3 linked regions of the Coturnix japonica genome follow. The protein of the gene in region 3 interacts with the protein of the main gene of each other region in a biochemical or structural test. Links are inferred from orthologs where the notes say so. Each region holds a gene or a part of one and is shown on either strand. Other genes may lie near its edges. The genes, in order: PDHB, PDK2 and DLAT.

The links.
Region 1: the proteins of DLAT (region 3) and PDHB form a complex in vitro, tested with the Homo sapiens proteins (2 studies listed by BioGRID and IntAct, with this or other methods). The link is inferred for Coturnix japonica from reciprocal best matches to the Homo sapiens genes DLAT and PDHB.
Region 2: the proteins of DLAT (region 3) and PDK2 form a complex in vitro, tested with the Homo sapiens proteins (2 studies listed by BioGRID). The link is inferred for Coturnix japonica from reciprocal best matches to the Homo sapiens genes DLAT and PDK2.

What each region holds. Positions count from the first base shown.
Region 1 is NC_029527.1:9,335,634-9,340,015, forward strand, and holds the start of PDHB (pyruvate dehydrogenase E1 component subunit beta, mitochondrial), read right to left. Parts: upstream 2,931-4,382; 5' UTR 2,867-2,930; coding exon 2,768-2,866; intron 2,647-2,767; coding exon 2,539-2,646; intron 2,466-2,538; coding exon 2,403-2,465; intron 2,326-2,402; coding exon 2,290-2,325; intron 2,204-2,289; coding exon 1,918-2,203; intron 1,332-1,917; coding exon 1,221-1,331; intron 623-1,220; coding exon 531-622; intron 79-530; coding exon 1-78. UniProt on the Homo sapiens protein: The pyruvate dehydrogenase complex catalyzes the overall conversion of pyruvate to acetyl-CoA and CO(2), and thereby links the glycolytic pathway to the tricarboxylic cycle.
Region 2 is NC_029542.1:2,597,534-2,601,746, forward strand, and holds the start of PDK2 (pyruvate dehydrogenase kinase, isozyme 2), read right to left. Parts: upstream 2,854-4,213; 5' UTR 2,769-2,853; coding exon 2,747-2,768; intron 2,118-2,746; coding exon 1,976-2,117; intron 912-1,975; coding exon 840-911; intron 681-839; coding exon 496-680; intron 1-495. UniProt on the Homo sapiens protein: Kinase that plays a key role in the regulation of glucose and fatty acid metabolism and homeostasis via phosphorylation of the pyruvate dehydrogenase subunits PDHA1 and PDHA2.
Region 3 is NC_029539.1:5,396,014-5,398,872, reverse strand, and holds the end of DLAT (dihydrolipoyllysine-residue acetyltransferase component of pyruvate dehydrogenase complex, mitochondrial), read left to right. Parts: coding exon 1-101; intron 102-237; coding exon 238-374; intron 375-662; coding exon 663-792; 3' UTR 793-2,305; downstream 2,306-2,859.

The sequences.
Region 1 (4,382 bases), on a different chromosome or scaffold from region 3:
TACAAGATGGTTTGTCTTTGCAACGCTGGCTTCCACTGTTTCAATATCCATTGGTCTAATGGTGCGCAGATTTATAACCTTAAAAAAAGGCACTGAGTGAGTTTTGCTGTGATCTGATCGTGACCTTTACTGCTGTTTGGGCACTGTGTCCTTTAGCACTTCAATCTATTCTGACTTTGACAAGAAGACTTAATGAAATTACTTCTTATCCTGACAGATGCTTCAGAATGGCTTTTGGTGGCTCATCAAGCATGGAAAATGCTTAATGAGTCTCACTGTATATAATCATGCTGCTACATACTGTCATTGTTCTGCTCATTGTACAGGCAGATCAATCTGAAAGTCTCTGGTAGTTCTGACTTGATTTTGTGATGAAAAGGTCAAACGCAGAAACAAGAAATGCACATACTCTGGCAGTTAAGGCACTTACAAAAGCTTGGAGTTTATAAAGTGATGTTCTACAGAGCCTGAACAAGGTGACCCTCTGCCTTTTTCCTTGTACAGAGAAAAGCAACAGAAACCCCACACACCTCACACTCAACACCTTCTTTGGCCAGGATAGAAGCTGCTTCCAAACAGTGCCCAACAGGCCTAGAGTGCGCCACTAATGTAACATGAGTTCCTGGAACAGAAACAAGTTTTAAAGAAGAAACAAATGCAGAAAAAAAAAAACCCACCACACACACAAAAAAGCATTTTTCTTGGGCTCTTTTGTAGGTAGCATCAGTATTCTCATGCAAATTTAAGTTCCTTACATCTACATGAAATGTTAAGTATTTCTATACCTGTGAAGAATGGCAGCAGGACTATGTGAGGATAATCTTTTGATTCAGGGATCTAAATAATGTTTTCAATACTTTTCGGATTATTTTTTTTTTTACGCTTTCATGCTATTCATTGGTAAATTATAAACAGGCTGAAAAATTACAATGATATCTTCTGCATTTTGGACAAAAATGACATAGTAAGGTGAGAACTTCCCTGCACATCACCAACACCATCCTTAGGCTGAGAAAGAAACCTTCTAGGGAGGTACAGTTTTAAGTGAGAAACTGAGAACAAACAATTGAGTACAATACAGGATAAATCATATTTGAGTATTTAACAATTTAAATGTGTTCCTGTGCCCCATGATAGCAGTATTTTGAACAGCTAAGAGTCCCCAGGCAGCTTGGTTAGTAAGGATACATACAGGTACATACACTGTGTTCTCAGCTTACCTTCCCTTTCTATTTTGGCCTTTCCAATTGGAATAACAAAGTCCTTTGACTGTGCCTGTTCTGACATCTCAAAGGGAACGCCGTACAGCAATTCACTTTCCAGCACCACAACTAGAACAAAACATACTTGGATTAATTCATACCTCTGCAGGAACAGGCTGTACTTATCATTAACGGTACCGCAGAAGAATATTTGCAAGACCAATACAAACAATTAAAAGTCAATCAACTTCACTACGCAGTTAGTTTAAATACTGTCTTCAGTTCATCTCTAAAGGTAGATCAAGGGAAAACTGCAAAGGCTGTGGCTAAGAAATGTTTCTGTAGAACTGCTAGCTTCAGAAAAAGCCTTACATTTTGCACGTGTGCTTGTGAGAAAGAAAGATGAAGGTTGCCCTGATTTTGCTTAATGAGATTCTGAATTTATCATCTAAGCTTCATCAACTCTAAAAAATGAGTTACACTGTACTGTATCTGCAGGTACTTCTCCTGACTCATCTTCATCCTTTATAATGCCTTTACAATGAGTTCATAAATGTGTCTTTCAAAGCTTCTAGATGAGTACCTGCAAGCAGGTTAGAACAGCACAAAATGCTTAAGTGCTGAATAAACTTTTTATCTTTTTACATGAGGTGGGAGAGGAAAAGAAGCATTCAGAAATGAGAGTTAAATACTGCCGTCATCTGACTGTGCTCACCTGGATTATCGTCCCGGATCGATGCCTTCAGCAGCCCCTTGGCATCTTCTGAGCTCCAAGGACTGACAACCTTCAGCCCCGGGCAGTGCCCGTACCAGGCAGCGAAGCACTGCGAGTGCTGTGCGGCAACGCCAGCTGAAGCCCCGTTGGGGCCACGGAACACGATGGGGACGGCGATGGTTCCTGCAGACATGTAGCACGTCTTGGCAGCAGAGTTGATAACCTGGTCGATTGCTTGCATGGAGAAGTTGAACGTCATGAATTCACACACCGGCCTCAACCCCGCCTATCAGAGTTAGACCATACGATATGTTTTAACACCAAAGCAGCTCGTTTTGTACATCAGTTCATTAGGACTGAGGGCGTACTGACCATTGCGGCACCAACGGCGATTCCTGCGAAGCCCATCTGGAAGAGGAGCAAACAGCATTAAGCGCCACAGCTCGGCCCACGGGGAGCCCTGTGGGGGGAGCCCCGCGCCGTACCTCGGAGATGGGGGTGTCGATGATCCTCTTGTCCCCGTATTTCTTCCACAGCCCCCTGGAGATCTGAAAGGATCGGAGCGGTGTCAGCCCCCGCACAGCCCGCACTGCGGCCCCGGCAGGGCCCCCCCTCCCTCACCTTGTAGGCACCGTCGTACTGTGCCACCTCCTCGCCCAGCATGAACACACGCTCATCCCGCTCCAGCTCCTCGTCCAGCGCCTGGTTCAGCGCGTCCCGCACCGTCACCTGCGGGAAGCGGCAGCCGGGCAGTGCTGGGCAGGGCAGGGCGGCCGTCCCTCGGCTCACCCGCACCACCCCGCCCGTACGGATGAACCCCCCGCCCCAGCTCCATCCTCACGGCCCGTACCTGGATGGCGGCGGGCGCGGAGAGGTGGAAGCCTCTGCGTGGCGAGAGAAGGCGGCCTCGCGGCACCAGCAGCCGCAGCGCTCCCGCCGCCGCCGCCATCTTGGCCGTGTCCTCTATAGCACCGGGCAACGGCCCGGCCCCCGCGCTACCTCGGCCCCTGCCTGAACTCTCGCGAGAACTGGCGCTGGCAGCCAGCGCTCTTTTTATGCGTCACTTCCGGTCTCGCGCTGTGGTGGCGGTGAGGCCGTGCCGCGCTCGGTGCTGCTCGCATGGCGCCGCTCGGGGCGCGATCAACGCGGCATCGCCTCCTGCCGCCGGGACCGCACCGCCCCCACCGCCCCCCTTCATCTGTGTGCCCCTCTTCAGTGACACAACTGCCCGCCAAGGAGGCGTGGGGCGGAGCGAGGTGTCCCCACTGTCGGCCCTGAGGTGAAAGGAGGCGGCTTCCCTCCCTCACCCGAGCGGAGCGGGCGGAGACACGGGGAGGGGATCGCGGCAGAACCCGCCCCCGCTCCTCCCTCCTCGGCGGCTGCTTCGCTCCCGGTTCAGTCGCCCCCATCATCGCCGGGCTCTGCTTCAGCGCCGGGACCTGCGACTGTGAGTGTGAGGAGGGGCGGGGCCGGGCCGGGCCGGGCCGGGCTGTGCTATGCTATGCTATGCTATGCTGTGCTGTGCTGTGCTGTGCTGTGCTGTGCTGTGCTGTGCTATGCTGTGCTGTGCTGTGCTGTGCTGCTGTGGGGGGTGGGAGGGAAACACGGGGCTGTGAGCGGCCGGAGGCTGCACTGGGGGGGGGGAAACGGGGCTGGGCCCCCTGTGGGACTGCGGGTACCTGGGGCTGGGGGCTGCCGGGCCCCGTTTGGGATGTTGTGAGGCTGTACCCGGCCCTCAGTTCGAACAGGGGCTGCCCCTCGCTGCAGGAGGGCCGGGCTGGGGCCGGGAGCGGTATCCAGGCGATGGGCACTTGGGGGCAGCGGGTGGAGCGGTGCAGTCGTGTCCAGCATCCTTTGCTGAATCATTGCGATCTCAGGGGGAGATTTCCTTCCGTGCGTTCCTCTGGGATGGAAAGCGGCTGTTCCCGACTCCTCCTGTGGGCCTGGGTTTGAAGGGACGATTCTTGTCACCATCCTGCTGCTTGGTCCCTGTGTCAGCACTGTTGGCTGTGCAGGATGTGCTCCTGACACCTGCCTTCATCCAGCACTGCTGGGAGATGTTTCCCCATGCACACAGCTGCCTGCTGGTGCCATGGAACAAGATACGTGGGTAAAACCAACTACTGACACTGTGCAGAGTGACTGTGTGGTGCCAGCAGGAGCAGGGCAGGTGCAGTTGCAGTCCTTGGACTCCTGCATGAGGAGGGTCAAATGGTGATGTGGGATTTTCAAGCATCTGGCAGATGGAGCTTCAGAACCCAGTCCCAAACTGAGATGTTGTATTGTTCCTCAGGTGTGGGAAAGAAACTTTCAGAGCTTGGAATTCATAGTGAAGCAATTAGGCATAAAGGAGCGAGAATGCTGAGTGGCCACTGTTGGTGTTTTGCTCTCTTGCCTGAGGTGAAGGCTGAAATATTAACCAAAAGAAGCAGAGAAAATAAGGAGAAGTTACGTTCTAATAAACT
Region 2 (4,213 bases), on a different chromosome or scaffold from region 3:
CACTGGTGTGTGCACCCATCCATGCCTAAGGGTGGGGGGTAGGGATATGTACAGGGGATGGATATGGGGTAAGATATAGGGATGGGGCATGGGTAGGGGACACATAGGGGTTGGGGGGGGTGGACATCTAAGGGGGTATGGACACCTGGGGGGGGGCACATGGGGGTTGGGGGAAGGGGGGGGTGCAGCAGGATGCTTGGGAGTAATAGGGACCATTGGGGTAGGGGGATTATGGGGTCAGGAAATAGGGGGTGTCCAGGTGGGGGCACTCAGGTCATAATGGCTTGTGGGGGGGGGGGGCATTGGGGGAAACAAGAGATGCTACCCAGAGCAGGACTGGGCCATCCAGAACCAATGGGGACAGCAAGGGTGGGAATGGGATGCTCAGGACCATTGGGGGATTATAGGGATACACGGGGGATGCCCAGTGCTGGTGGGGGTGACACCGGGGGGGGGACACACAATATAGGGGGGGGGGCACACAGGGATGCTCACTGTGCTGGTTGATGAGCATGCGGATGGAGATACGGCTCAGGTAGAAGCGGTCGAGGAAGTATTGGATGTTCTGGTTGGACACCGGGTCGTCCCCATAAGCATCTTTGTACTCAATGACACCCTGTGCCATGGTGGGCACCACGTCGTTGTGACGGTTACGGATGGTGACCAAAGCGTTGGTGAACCTGGAGGGGGGGGGGGGTGATATGAAGCATAGGGCAGCCAGTGTGGGTGGCTGGGTTGGGATCTGGGCTGGGTTATCCTATAGGAGAGAATCCAGAGTGGGGTTGTGGTGATGCTATGGGGGTTTGGGGGGGGTCACAACGCTGGCACCCCACACTCACTGCCCCAATGTGGCCTGGTCCTCAGGGTCCTTATCCAGGAACTCCATGATGTCCAGCAGGCTCTGCACGTACCTGGGGGAGGAGATGGTCACCCCACAGCCCCAGCAATGTGCCCACCCCCCCATACATAAGCATTGATAGAAGGGCACTGCCAGGCCCTGCTGTCCCCCCATGCCCCCCCCCATTACACTGGCAGTGCTGGCACAGACCTGAGGACACAAACAACTCGTCACATGGCAGCTGGGAGTGGGGCCAGGATGCCAGCACCGACCTTAAAGGAACACCCCCCCCCCCAACCACACAGCCCCCCCAGCCATAGGGGACAGCAGGGACAGGACAATGGGGCAGCACCCTTTGGTTGAGGACCCCCCTGCACGTCCCCATGCAGCCATTGTCAGCCCAGGGTAAGAGATGGGTGCTGCTCTATGGGATTCCTATGTCCTGTCCCTGGGTCAACCCCCCCCACCAGCACCCCATGGACCTGCTGGGGGGGGGGCAGCAGTGACAGAAGTCACAGTGGGATCAATGTAGGCCCAGGGGGGCACCAGGCAGGTGGTGGCAATAGGATTGGACCCCATCAGGGACAGCAATGGGATCCATGGGGGCACCTGGTGACAGGGGTGGGACCCATAGGGGCGTTTAGTAAGTGACAATGGTCGGACCCCTATAGGGGACAGCACTGTGACCTATGGGGGCACACAGTAGGTGGTAGCAATGGGACTGGATCCCTATAGGGGGCAGCACTGTGACCCATGGGAGCACATAGGTGGTAGCAATGGGACCGGATCCCTATAGGGGACAGCACTGTGACCTATGGGAGCACACAGCAGGTGGTGGTAATAGGATCAGACCCCTATAGGGGACAGCAGTGGGACCTATGGGGGCACACAGGTGGTAGCAATGGGATCGGACCCCTATAGGGGACAGCACTGTGACCCATGGGGGCACATAGGTGGTAGCAATGGGACCGGACCCCTATAGGGGACAGCACTGTGACCCATGGGGGCACACAGTAGGTGGTGGCAATGGGATTGGACCCCTATAAGGGACATTAGCGGGACCTATGGGGGCACATAGGTGGTAGCAATGAGACCGGACCCCTATAGGGGACAGGGGGGTGATGTCCCCATACTCACCAGCTCTGCACCAGCTGCACGGACGGGGTGTGCAGCACTCGGTCGGGCAGCAGGTTGATCTCCTTCATGATGTTGGAGAGGCGAACGGGCAGCTCCTGCCGCAGGAAGGCAAAGGAGGTCTTCTCACAGGCATTGCTGGAGCCTGGGGGGGGGATATGGGGGTCAGAGCCAGCCATGAAACAGGCTGAACCCCCCCCACTGTCCCTTATAGTACAGGGAGCACTGAGGGCTTGGGGATGGGGGGGGGGGTAGGAGGGGACCAGCACAGCCCAGTACAGCCCAGTATAACCAGTGTGCCCCTGATTATAGGGGATGGGAACGATGGGTGCCATCAGAGTGGGGTTCAACCCATGGGGGGGCGACATAGACCCCAAGGAATGGGGACCTGGGGGGGGGGGCGATCATAGACCCCAAGAACGGGGACTGGGGGGGGGACAAATTAGACCCAGGGAAGGGACCTGGGAGGGGCATATGGCATAGAAGAGGGTTGGACCCCCTGCCTGCAGCCATAGCAATACGGGTATATATATGGACAGCCACTGCGAGGGGGGGTCCAACATGGGACCCCCCCTACTGGTTGGGGGGGGGGGCGTGTCCATTTTCCGAGTGGGGGGGGGGGCCGTTTAAATGCGGTCCACCCCACCCCGGAGCAGCTGTTTACAGGGCAGAGGGGACAGGACAGACGGACCGGACATACATAACGGACATATGACATCGGCGACTCTTACTGGGGGGGGGGTCGTGGGCAGAGCTTGGGGGTCTTCACTCGACCGAAATCCAGGAACTGCTTCATGAAAGCGCGATGGCGAGAACTACTGAAGTGCTCGATGTATCGTGTGGCACCCGGTCCCCACGGGCCGCCCGAGCTTCCCCAGGCACCTCAGCAGTCCCCTTCATGGCCGCCCCAGCCCCCCCCCGCGACCCCTCGTCGCCCCGATCGCCCGCTTGCTCCCCTCAAAGCCCACGGCGTCCCCGTCGGGCCGCATAACAACGGCCCTGATCAGTCACCGCCCTTCCGGACCATCAGCGTCCGTTCTGCCGTCGGACCCGCCCCTATATTAGACACGCCCCCCGACGTTTAACCCCGCCCCTTTTTATTAACCCCTTCGTGCCCGGAAGCCCAGCGCTCATTAACCCCTTCGGCCTGGCGACTCCCATCGCCTTTTTCCCGACTGTATAAGCCGCCCGGTCCGCGCACACACCGCATGATTCCCCTCCACTCCACGGGGCGCTCTCTCTTGTTATCACATGCCAACTGCAGCATCCTTCTCCCTTCAGGGATCACCCCCCCGGTACCATCACCCCCCCCCCCCCCCCCTTTGGGCACCCCTTGCCCTTCCCACCCCTCCTTTTTTACCCCCTACTCCCCCTATTCCATCCATATAGCAAAACCAACGGGGCAGATGAGAGGTTAGAAATCCCAGAGCGAGGCTTTATTAGCCCAGCAGAGGCGTGAGCATGGCCGAAGGGGGGGCGGGGGGCTCATAGACACCTCCCCCCCCCCTCAAACCCCAGTACCGACCCCACTCTGGGGCTTGACACGAGAACGCACAGAGACATGGAATAATTTAACCCCCAGAGCTGTGAGGGATGGGGGAGGGGGGGGGGTGAAGCCCCCAAGCCCCCCCCATAGTGGCTGCAGCTGCTGAGGAGCGAAGGGGGGGGGGGGGCAAGCTTCCATTGTGCACCTATGTGCACCTACCCCCCCCCAGCAAGGGCTGAAGGTGCAGGATGAGGAGGGCAGGAGGAAGGCACGAGTAAAGCTGGGGGGGGGGCACCCCAAACCCAGAGCACAGACAAAGGTTGGGGGGCGCATCGAGGGGGGGGGGGGGTGGCAATGAGTGTGTCCCCATGTGCAACAGTGGCGGTGGACCACCATAGAAGGGGGGGGGGAGCGGCAGCACAGGAGCAGGAGGAAGGCACTCAGGAGGACACAACGGGGGGGGGGCAACACATGAGGACCCCTCCCCATTCCAAGCGTGCAAGAGGCACAAGGGGTGTGCAAGGAGCACAGGGATGGAGCAACGATGCTGCTGCTGTGCTTGTGCAAAGTCACCCCACAGCCCCATATCGGGGTGGGGGCTGGAGGGGGCGGTGCAGGGTTGGGGGGGGGGTGTCAGTAATACTTGTCCTGGCTGCTGCCAGCTCGTCCACCCAGTGTTTCTTGCGCTGGGGCCGGGGGGCGATAACGCTGCTCCTGCCGGATCCGAACGCGTGGTATTTGGGCATCACCCGGTA
Region 3 (2,859 bases):
TGTATAATGCACATATAAAGGGCCTGGCTTCTATCAGTAAGGACGTGGTCTCTTTGGCAGCGAAAGCCCGAGAAGGTAAACTTCAGCCACATGAATTCCAGGTGAGGAACTACATTTGCTATTACTGCTGCCATTGGCTTCTGTCCATGTTCAGAATGAGCAAAGCCTGTCTTGTGATATTTCAGTCATTCTGCGTGAAACACCTCTTCTGACTTTTCTGTGAATGTCTTCCTGTAGGGTGGTACTTTCACAATTTCCAATTTAGGAATGTATGGGATTAAGAATTTCTCTGCCATAATCAATCCGCCTCAAGCCTGCATCCTTGCAGTTGGTTCCTCAGAGCAAAGGCTGGTGCCAGCTGACAATGAGAAAGGGTAAGTAACCAGAATTCCTCTGGTTCTGCATTCTGCTTCTGGATTCAAACTCTGAAATAACAGCTATAAACACGGTTGTGTTTTTCCCTTGTAGAAAAGGAGTTATTACGGTCTGCTTTCCAGTGTGAACGTTTTGTCCAGTGCCTACAGGGAGACAGAATCTGTCTCCAAGCTCTGTTGTCGTTGCCAGTTCTCTGACAAAAGCAGTTTGGCTTTGTTAGCGTTACCACCTTTGGCAGCAATTTGTAGAGAATTCTGCGAATGTTTTTTGTTTCCTTTCTTTTCCAGATTTGATGTGGCCAGTATGATGTCCGTTACACTGAGCTGTGACCATCGTGTTGTAGATGGAGCTGTTGGAGCACAGTGGCTTGCTGAATTCAAGAATTTCCTTGAAAAGCCAGTAACCATGCTGCTATAATTGAAACATGCAAAGCAAAATGTTCCTGGATCACACTGTTCTGTTTTAAACGAGCTATTTAGACTTTAGTATTCAGACTTATTAAAAGAGTTCCTTTTTTTTTTTTTTTTTTTAATTTTAAATATGTATTATATTATCTGGTAACGTTCTTACCAGTCTGTACAGAGAAAAGGTTTGCAGAAATGCTATTCAAGGCAATATTACAGCTGTACTGTATGTTTATACAGTTGGTTAACTTGCAAACTCTTTCAAAACAGTTTAGCATCCCCGATTTCAAAATGATCCAGGCAGTGTGTGTGCTGCCATCTGTTTCTAAACTATGTTGGATGAGGTGGGGGTGCACAGCAGGTGATTTCACAACCTCTGTTCTCAGAAATTTGAATTGCAAACATCTCTTCACAGGAGTTCAGATGAGATGGTAACTGAAACACAGGAGCTGAATTCCCTTATTCTGTTCTCCTGCTGGGATGGGGTGGCAATGGCAGATGCACTAAAGGGACTGAAGCCGCTGGGAATAATTTCTCAAAGGCCAAGTGTTAGCATTCCAAGTCTCTTTTGGAATTTAGCACTGGTTTGGAACTTCTCAGCTTTGGGATCCCTTCTGAGCACTTTAAAGGTGAAAGAACACCAATACCTGTGGTATCATATCTCAGATACCACAGGGAACGTGCTGTCTTGTTGTAGACTTTCACTTACGTGTGCTTCTCATATGAAGACTCTTTAATTGCTTTTCCTCTTGCTGAGTTAGTATCAGACTATGATGCCATGGAAGTAACTTTTGCAGAATTTTCAAGAGACTTTGTGTGTTGGAACCCATGTAGGCAAATGGCACATGCTCATAATCCCACCCCTGGGTGTTAATCATGTGGTGACACAAACATTTGACAACTTTTTCAGGCATTCTAACATAGGAAGCTCTGCATTAGTCACTGTACTGCAGTTCTTCCCTGAACTGTCTGTGTTGTCCCAGCCTCAGTGAGCAGCAGAATGTGCTATCTGTGTATATATTGTATGTGAGATGTTGGAATTGCTTGTTGGACTTGAGTCCAGTTACCCCAGTCATTGTATCCTGAAAGGGGTGCAGTGCTGAATGTGCTTAAATTCCACTTTCCACATGGAAACATTCATGTAAAAAGGAGGGTTGTGTAGTAACTTCAGCGTGACCTGGAGAATTGAACAGGGGGGAGAAGTGAACCAAAAACTGAACCAAAAACCAAAAACAGATGAAGCTGATCTGTCGTTCTGTGTATCGCATTAAGTACAGTCCCCTGTAAAGTTCTGATACAAAACTCACTAAAGATATTGAAAGAAAATACTGTGGAAATTAAATATTTTTGTGGGAACTATTTAATGTCTGGTTGCTGTGTTAGCTGGTTTTCATGCCTGGCTTAAGCAAAAAAAAAAGTGCATTATGTTTTTGGGTTCTTTTTTAATGTTCTAAAATATCTGGGTTCCAGACCTGCTCTTGTGAACCTACGTTCTATTAAATGTTTTGAATTGACAACTACTAAAACATGTTGCAGTGCTTTTCTGTTGAGTCACGTGTGGCTGTTTGTACCGCTGTGGCAAAGCAGAGCTGTTCAGCCTTTCCATCTAACAGTGACACTCACCCTAATAACCCTCAGCTGTAATCACAGATATCCCAGGTTATCCCATGCTTAATGACTGTCGCACCAAACTTGAGTCTTGAGTCACACAGAACCAAGCCTGAGTCTTCCTACCTTCCTTGCTGCACTTCTCAGCAGCAGCTCAAGTTCTGGCTCACTAAAGCTTTGGCTTTCTCCCTGCAGTAAGAACAGTAAATGACTCTGGAATAGGTTTGTTAGCCTGCAGGTCTATGCCTCATGTGTGTGCTTAGAGTGCTGGTGGTGAGTACACTGCTGCTCGCAGCCTGCAGCAGGCCAGCTCTGATAGCTGCAAATCCCCAGGTACTTCTGTACAGACCTCTTAGGTTACAGAGAAACAAAGGAAAACCTGGCTCTTCATGGTCTTCCTGGAGTTTGCATTTTAAAGTTGCAGCTTTTGTCTTGATTTGTGATGTAACAATCATCACTACAATAACGTGAT